2 linked regions of the Saccharomyces cerevisiae S288C genome follow. The gene in region 1 interacts genetically with each later gene. Each region holds a gene or a part of one and is shown on either strand. Other genes may lie near its edges.

Region 1 (6,984 bases):
TCATGCATTCCTATATGCTAAATTGGAAGAAGAAATATACATCCCACATCCGCATGATAGGAGATGTGTAGTCAAGCTAAATAAGGCGTTATATGGTCTAAAACAGAGTCCTAAAGAATGGAATGATCATCTAAGACAATACTTGAATGGAATTGGACTGAAAGATAACTCTTATACTCCGGGATTATACCAAACCGAGGATAAAAATCTAATGATTGCAGTCTATGTTGATGACTGCGTAATTGCGGCAAGCAATGAACAGAGATTGGATGAATTCATAAACAAATTGAAAAGTAATTTTGAACTGAAAATTACAGGAACATTAATAGACGATGTACTCGATACAGATATATTAGGAATGGATCTAGTATACAACAAAAGACTTGGTACTATCGATTTAACATTAAAATCATTCATAAATAGAATGGATAAAAAATACAACGAGGAATTGAAAAAGATTAGAAAAAGTTCAATTCCGCATATGTCAACTTATAAAATAGATCCTAAGAAAGACGTACTGCAAATGTCAGAAGAAGAGTTTAGACAAGGTGTTCTAAAGCTACAACAATTACTAGGTGAACTAAACTATGTCAGACACAAATGCAGATACGACATTGAATTTGCTGTTAAGAAAGTGGCTAGACTAGTAAATTACCCACATGAAAGAGTCTTTTATATGATTTACAAAATAATCCAGTACTTGGTTCGGTATAAAGATATTGGAATACACTATGACCGAGACTGTAATAAAGACAAAAAGGTTATTGCTATAACTGATGCATCAGTTGGATCAGAATATGATGCTCAATCAAGGATTGGAGTTATATTATGGTACGGTATGAATATTTTTAATGTTTATTCTAACAAGAGCACAAACAGATGTGTATCATCAACAGAAGCAGAGCTTCATGCCATTTATGAAGGCTATGCAGACTCAGAAACGTTGAAGGTAACATTAAAGGAGCTAGGAGAAGGAGACAATAATGACATTGTCATGATCACTGACTCAAAGCCAGCCATTCAAGGATTAAATCGCAGCTATCAACAACCAAAAGAGAAATTCACTTGGATAAAAACTGAAATAATAAAAGAAAAAATTAAAGAGAAGAGTATAAAACTGTTAAAAATTACCGGCAAAGGTAATATTGCTGATTTACTAACAAAACCAGTATCAGCATCTGATTTTAAAAGATTTATACAAGTATTAAAAAATAAAATAACATCACAGGATATTTTGGCCTCAACAGACTATTGATAATTAATTAATGAAGTTCTAAACACACAATGAATATCTGTTGAAGTACAATAATATATCTTTAAGGGAGCATGTTGGAACGAGAGTAATTAATAGTGACATGAGTTGCTATGGTAACAATCTAATGCTTACATCGTATATTAATGTACAACTCGTATACGTTTAAGTGTGATTGCGCCTATTGCAGAAGGAATGTTAAACGAGAAGCTCAGACAATACTGAAGCTGTGTTAAAGACCTATTAGTTGAACATGTTATGGTAGGTACATATATGAGGAATATGAGTCGTCACATCAATGTATAGTAACTACCGGAATCACTATTATATTGGTCATAATTAATATGACCAATCGGCGTGTGTTTTATATACCTCTCTTATTTAGTATAAGAAGATCAGTACTCACTTCTTCATTAATACTAATTTTTAACCTCTAATTATCAACATATCAATATATTATTGAAGATTGGGTGAATTTTGAGATAATTGTTGGGATTCCATTTTTAATAAGGCAATAATATTAGGTATGTAGATATACTAGAAGTTCTCCTCCAGGATTTAGGAATCCATAAAAGGAAATCTGCAATTCTACACAATTCTATAAATATTATTATCATCATTTTATATGTTAATATTCATTGATCCTATTACATTATCAATCCTTGCGTTTCAGCTTCCACTAATTTAGATGACTATTTCTCATCATTTGCGTCATCTTCTAACACCGTATATGATAATATACTAGTAACGTAAATACTAGTTAGTAGATGATAGTTGATTTTTATTCCAACAATTATCATATACGGTGTTAAGATGATGACATAAGTTATGAGAAGCTGTCATCGAAGTTAGAGGAAGCTGAAGTGCAAGGATTGATAATGTAATAGGATAATGAAACATATAAAACGGAATGAGGAATAATCGTAATATTAGTATGTAGAAATATAGATTCCATTTTGAGGATTCCTATATCCTCGAGGAGAACTTCTAGTATATTCTGTATACCTAATATTATACCCTCTATCAACAACAGGATTCCAACAATTATTTCAAAATCCACCCATATCTCAGATTTCACATCAGTATTGATTAAAATATTAATTGCTACCAGTTCTAATAAATCTAATGTTTACATCATATAGTAATATATCTTTTGAGAAATGTGACTGGCGTTATACAGAAACCGAATTACACGTTTTAAATACTAATTATTAAAATTTATCCTGATAAGTTGATCTTTATTTCCGTACAGCACAACCGATAGAGGAGATGTTTAAAGTGTTTAAGCTCACTTTATAGGGTGAAACACATTTTGACGACCGTAAAAGGTCATTTGATTTGGTATTGAGGTCGAGAAAATATTTTCAAATAGTGAAGGATACATTAAACACGCTCACAAAACAACATAAAAATCCGTGATAGTTTAATGGTCAGAATGGGCGCTTGTCGCGTGCCAGATCGGGGTTCAATTCCCCGTCGCGGAGATTTTTTTTGGCCCTTGATGACTGTTCTGGTACAATTTCCACCTTGAATGAGGGTATAAGATACCGATGATATATATTCAGACTATTTCTACGACACAGAAAAACAATCGACCAAGCCGTCCTTGAACATGCTGCAGAACTTCCTTTTTTTTATTTTTTTTGGCTCATCTACGTAATCCTATTATCTTTTATTAAATTTTGAAGCTATGAGTTTCTTTCCAGCGACTTGGAACCAATAGTTGACAGTGAGTGCATACTTGAGTATTTTCCCCCTACATTGTACAGTCCTCCTCAGACCTGGTATCCCTGTTTAATGTGGTCGCTCATCGGACTTTTCCGTCCGATAGGAATTCGCTCAACTTTGACAGGCGGAACTACTTTCACATCGATTTTCTCAGGAAAGACGGCGTAAACAAGAGAAGAAATTAACTTTCTACAGAAAGTACAACCATATAAACCCTTCGTAGAGCTCCAATTAGTAGCAAATAATGACAAATAATGTCAGTGAACGACCAAATAACTCATATAGGAAAAACATTGTCCACAACGGCTTCCGCTTTTTTAAACTACCAAAAATCGAACAGCAACACTCAAGATGTACTGACCAATAATGGGCCTTATAAGAATTTATTATCAAATACCGTCAACAATGCGAGCTCAACTTCATACTTTTACAAGAGGACTGAACACGGTCGCTTTGTAAAAAATGCATCTAACACTTTTGAGGATATTTACTCCAAGACAAGAAGGGGCGATGTATTCAGGAACAAGTTCACAGACAACAAAACATGCTTCAGAATGCTCACGTACATAAGTGATGATTTGTTGAACGAGATCCCAACTAAGGAAGGTCTCAAAAGTGATGCAGATGGCAAGCTTCTAACCGAAGGAGGCGAAAATGAAAATCTCAGGAAGAACGCATCCAAAAAAGAAACATCGCTGTTTCAGGGCTTTAAAAGCTACCTACCAATAGCGGAGCTTGCCATTGAAAACACTGAAAGATTAAACTATGATACAAATGGTACAAGCGGTACGGTTGGTGCGAAAGATGTTATGTCTAAAACAAATGAGCGAGATGAAATTCACACAGAGCTTCCTAACTTCCAAGATTCATTTCTCATACCGCCTGGGGTAGAAACTAAAAAAATAAGCTCCTCTTATTCTCCTAGTGCATTAAAAAGTTTTTCTCAAACTCTTGTAAATAGTTTAGAGTTTTTAAATATTCAGAAAAATTCTACGTTATCCGAAATAAGAGACATTGAAGTTGAAGTTGAGAATCTGAGACAAAAGAAAGAGAAACTGTTGGGTAAAATTGCGAACATAGAGCAAAATCAATTACTATTGGAAGACAACCTCAAACAGATTGATGATAGGTTGGACTTTTTAGAAGAGTACGGATTGGAGGTGATCGAAGCTAATAGCGACGAAAATGCAGAAGATGATGGTATGAGTGAGCGAAAGGCCCTTAAAAATGATGCTATAAGAAATGAGGGTGTCACCACAGAGAGCATATCATCAGAGGCTTCTAATCTACCTCCAAGGAGAAGGCAACAACTTCGAGACGATAACTCATTGAATAGATTAGGTGCCTTTTATAGCAAATCCAAAAAAAGACACAGAAAAAGCTTCCCAACATTCCAGCAGCTTTACGAGCCAGGAACAAAAATTGGCTCTATAATGTCCACTCACGATGATTTCCTCACTTGCCTAGATTTTGATGCGCCCTTTGGTACCTTATGTACAGCCGGATATCTTGATCACACGGTAAAAATTTGGGATTTATCCAAACAAAACAAAATTGGAGAACTAGCAGGACATCTTGCTACAATTAATTGTATGCAAATCAATCGTGACTACGGAACTCTTGTTACTGGTGGTAGAGATGCGGCTTTAAAATTATGGAATTTGAATTTAGCTCAACAACTTTACCAGGAAACGCAAAATCTTACCTCTCCTACAAATCATATTGATTCTCCATGTGTTCATACATTTGAGGCGCATACAGATGAGGTTACTGCATTATCATTAGATCCTAGTTTCTTGGTGAGTGGTTCACAGGATAGAACAATTAGGCAATGGGACTTACGTTCCGGGAAGTGCTTGCAAACCATTGATCTGAGCTTTGCAAATGTCTTAACAACATCCACTAATGTCGATTTATCAAAGAGCACACTTCTTACTCAAAGAAATGAGAGGCCTAGTATAGGTGCACTACAAAGTTTTGATGCAGCGCTAGCAACGGGTACAAAAGATGGTGTTGTAAGGCTATGGGATTTAAGATCCGGAAAGGTGATTCGTACTTTGAAAGGGCATACAGATGCCATAACGTCATTAAAATTTGATTCCGCGTGCCTGGTCACAGGTTCATACGACAGAACAGTTAGAATCTGGGACTTAAGAACTGGGTTGTTGAATAAGTTTCATGCGTACAGTGCGCCAGTTCTTTCGTTAGATCTCTTCCAAGAGAACGCTGCAGTCGTTGTCGCAGACGAACCAAGTGTCCAGATATACGATAGCGAAAAGGATGAAAGCTGGTCTTGCGTCGAACAAGGTAACGAGACTAGCGTTAGTACCGTTAAGTATAAAGAAAATTACATGGTTGAGGGTCGTGAAAATGGGGACGTAAATATTTGGGCCGTATGATAGGCATTGCATTGCAATCAAGTCAACCCATTTGAAGAAAAATAAATATCGAGTGCATATGTGAATAGCTGCTCGCTCAGATATATATAAATAAATATTCGTTCTGGAATGTAAATAAAGTATCGTCAATACCTTGGATGGTTTATCAGCGAAATCGGTGCTGTAGATGTTGCCCTGTCATATTACTACAGATGTCTTGGAAGCAATCACCATACCTGCATTATCCTTACCCGGAAAAAGAAAACTTTCGTGAATAATGATTAATATTTAAGTGGCGACTTTTTCATCCTTGCTATTGAAAAAAAAAAAAATGAATAATTGTTATTAAGCGTTAGCAGATGCCAAATTGTCGAAATGATTTCAAATACAGAGAATTAGCCGCAAATATTAAGTAGTACCTGAATCACGAGACATACAACTCGGAAAAATGAACTTTGGAAGCCAAACACCTACAATTGTGGTTCTAAAAGAGGGAACAGACGCATCTCAAGGTAAAGGTCAAATCATCTCTAATATCAATGCCTGTGTTGCAGTCCAAGAGGCATTGAAACCAACTTTAGGTCCCTTAGGTTCTGATATTTTAATTGTGACATCGAATCAAAAGACTACTATTTCTAACGATGGTGCCACGATCCTAAAATTATTAGATGTAGTACATCCTGCTGCCAAAACTTTAGTGGATATTTCTAGAGCTCAGGATGCCGAGGTGGGTGATGGTACAACTAGTGTAACCATTTTAGCTGGTGAGTTAATGAAAGAAGCCAAGCCCTTTTTGGAAGAAGGCATTTCATCTCATTTGATTATGAAGGGCTACAGAAAGGCCGTTTCTTTAGCTGTGGAGAAGATTAACGAATTAGCTGTGGATATTACTTCAGAGAAAAGCAGTGGCAGAGAATTACTTGAACGCTGTGCTAGAACTGCAATGTCGTCGAAATTGATTCATAATAATGCAGATTTTTTTGTTAAAATGTGTGTTGACGCCGTGCTATCCCTTGATAGAAACGATTTGGATGACAAATTAATAGGTATTAAAAAAATTCCAGGTGGTGCTATGGAAGAATCTCTTTTCATCAACGGTGTCGCCTTTAAGAAGACATTTTCGTATGCTGGATTTGAACAGCAACCCAAAAAGTTCAACAATCCTAAAATTTTAAGTTTGAATGTAGAACTGGAGTTGAAAGCAGAGAAAGACAATGCTGAAGTACGTGTAGAACATGTTGAAGATTACCAAGCTATTGTAGATGCGGAGTGGCAATTAATCTTTGAAAAGCTAAGACAAGTGGAAGAAACAGGTGCCAATATTGTACTATCAAAGTTACCTATCGGCGATTTGGCTACTCAATTTTTTGCTGATAGAAATATTTTCTGCGCTGGTAGAGTGAGCGCAGATGATATGAATCGTGTCATCCAAGCTGTTGGAGGCTCTATACAATCTACTACTTCAGATATAAAACCAGAGCATTTGGGTACTTGTGCTTTGTTTGAGGAAATGCAAATCGGGTCAGAACGCTACAATTTATTCCAAGGTTGCCCACAAGCTAAAACATGTACATTATTATTAAGAGGAGGTGCTGAGCAAGTTATTGCCGAGGTTGAGAGATCATT
Region 2 (2,706 bases), on another chromosome or scaffold:
TCTTGACGGCGGAGTTTTCGTGTTCACAGTAACAGGTGACTTGATTCAAAGAGTCACATGTGGAAGAGGATTTGCCGACTTGCGCAACACAGGCCAATAAACAAGCTGGAGGTGTTGCTAAGACTTCCTTCGACAACAATGCCAAAGAAACGACTGAAGATAATAAAGTGGTGGCACGCATGATAATATATAACGAGTGTTGAACGAGTGTAGTAGTGCTGTGAGCTTTGACCCTGTGTGTATTAACAACTGGCGAAATCTATTTATCATCCCTTTGTTTATAAGTTCGAGAGTGTTTATAAACGGTGAAAAATTCGTGAAAAATTAACGGAAAAATTGTAAAAAAGAAATAATGGGTCCTAATGCATGTGGTGCATGGGTCCAATGCTTCTATAAATAGTAATTTTCCGGGTAATAGGTTTTTGTAACGTTATAATGGCTTTACTATTGATGCTATATACAGGAAAAGAAAGTATAGAGGTATTTTCTAGTACGCTTCCTTACTGTTGTGGTGGAGTAGGAGGTGTAGGTGGTGTAGGTGGTGCAGCTGGTGTGGATGATAAAGACGGCGTGACCTTTAACAGATTTCCGTCCTCGTCGTATTCTGGGATGGGAATGTCCGTTCTCAAGTTTCCATCCTTACGCAATCTATCGATAACAATGGGCTCGAAAAATCTCGTGCCCGTGTAGACTCCCACAAGGCATGCGATACCTATAGTGACCATATCTAAAGTGTTCTTTCGCATATTGCACTGGACTTGACGTTTCTTGTGTTTGTTACTTTTGTCAGTTGAATGACTGAATAACACTACAATTGTTGTATTTTTCAGCCAATCCATTTCTTCATCGCGTTTCCCCTAGTTTATGCGGAAAAGATAGAAGAAGCGCACAGGCAAAATATGATGTAATACAATCAATTGTGGCCAAAAATACAAGAGAAGGGGATGACTGTAGCTGTATTGTCTCTATTCTTTTCAAGGGGTTGTTGATGTACCGTTGCTGAAGGGTTCGCTGTACTATTTAACACCCTTTGGGCTTTCTAGCTTATTGTTTAAGCAGCTTTTATTGGTGGCGTACATACTAAATTGTAAAGGCGCGCGCCGGTCTGTTAATGATGTTGAAATTTTCATTTCGAGGACTTCGCCCTTTTCTTCCTGAATGAATCAGAGAAAGTGAAATCAAATAGTAAGTCAGAACCAACCATTCGGAAGACCTCATTCTTGCTCATTTTGATATTGCTCTGTATGGGCGTATCTCTTTTAGCTTCTTCTTCTGCATTTGTAACTAAACCACTCCTCACTCAATTGGTTCACCTCTCACCTATCAGTCTCAATTTCACCGTAAGACGCTTCAAGCCATTCACGTGCTTATCACGCTATTACACAACAAATCCTTATAATATGACATCCAATTTTAAGACATTCAATCTGGACTTTTTAAAGCCGGATTTAGACGAAAGATCGTATCGGTTTATTGAGCTACCTAATAAGCTGAAGGCTCTGTTGATCCAGGACCCAAAAGCAGATAAAGCAGCAGCGTCGCTAGACGTCAATATTGGCGCCTTTGAAGATCCAAAGAACCTACCTGGATTGGCGCATTTCTGCGAGCATCTTTTATTCATGGGCTCTGAGAAATTTCCAGACGAAAACGAATACTCGAGCTATTTAAGCAAGCACGGTGGTTCATCCAATGCCTACACAGCATCGCAAAACACAAATTATTTTTTTGAGGTTAATCACCAACATTTATTTGGTGCGCTAGACAGGTTTTCAGGGTTTTTCTCTTGTCCTCTTTTCAACAAGGACTCTACTGATAAAGAGATCAACGCCGTTAACAGCGAAAACAAAAAGAACTTACAGAATGATATTTGGAGAATTTACCAATTAGACAAGTCTTTGACCAATACAAAACATCCATATCACAAATTTTCTACAGGAAACATCGAAACTTTGGGCACATTGCCAAAGGAAAATGGACTAAATGTTAGAGATGAACTGTTAAAATTCCATAAGAATTTTTACTCCGCTAACCTAATGAAGCTATGTATTCTTGGTAGAGAAGACCTTGATACTCTCTCTGATTGGACTTATGATCTCTTCAAGGATGTAGCCAATAACGGTCGTGAAGTACCCCTTTATGCGGAACCTATTATGCAGCCTGAGCATTTGCAAAAAATAATTCAAGTCCGTCCTGTGAAAGATTTGAAAAAACTAGAAATCTCTTTCACTGTCCCTGATATGGAGGAACATTGGGAGTCCAAGCCACCGAGGATATTAAGTCATTTAATCGGCCATGAAGGGTCCGGTTCATTACTAGCACATTTGAAAAAATTGGGCTGGGCCAATGAGCTATCTGCTGGTGGGCATACTGTGTCCAAAGGAAATGCTTTTTTTGCTGTCGATATAGATTTAACAGACAACGGGTTGACACACTATCGCGATGTTATTGTCTTGATCTTCCAGTATATTGAAATGTTGAAAAACTCACTACCTCAAAAATGGATATTCAATGAACTGCAAGATATCTCTAATGCTACCTTCAAGTTTAAGCAAGCTGGTAGCCCATCTTCCACAGTTTCATCATTGGCAAAATGCTTGGAAAAGGATTACATTCCTGTTAGCAGAATTTTAGCCATGGGTTTGTTAACGAAATATGAACCTGATTTGCTTACCCAATATACGGACGCTCTGGTCCCGGAAAATTCTC

What was found.
Region 2: of MDV1 (region 1) and ECM19, changing one enhances a phenotype caused by changing the other (phenotypic enhancement), as found in Saccharomyces cerevisiae (one study listed by BioGRID).

The regions. Positions count from the first base shown.
Region 1 is NC_001142.9:202,071-209,054, forward strand, and holds MDV1 (Mdv1p), read left to right. Parts: upstream 1-3,234; coding exon 3,235-5,379; downstream 5,380-6,984. Other genes in the region: chaperonin-containing T-complex subunit CCT7, read left to right, coding at 5,807-6,984. UniProt on the Saccharomyces cerevisiae protein: Involved in mitochondrial fission. Has a partially redundant function to CAF4 in acting as an adapter protein, binding to FIS1 on the mitochondrial outer membrane and recruiting the dynamin-like GTPase DNM1 to form mitochondrial fission complexes.
Region 2 is NC_001144.5:901,199-903,904, reverse strand, and holds ECM19 (Ecm19p), read right to left. Parts: upstream 840-2,706; coding exon 501-839; downstream 1-500. Other genes in the region: CCW14 (Ccw14p), read right to left, coding at 1-181; STE23 (metalloendopeptidase), read left to right, coding at 1,245-2,706. UniProt on the Saccharomyces cerevisiae protein: May be involved in cell wall organization and biogenesis.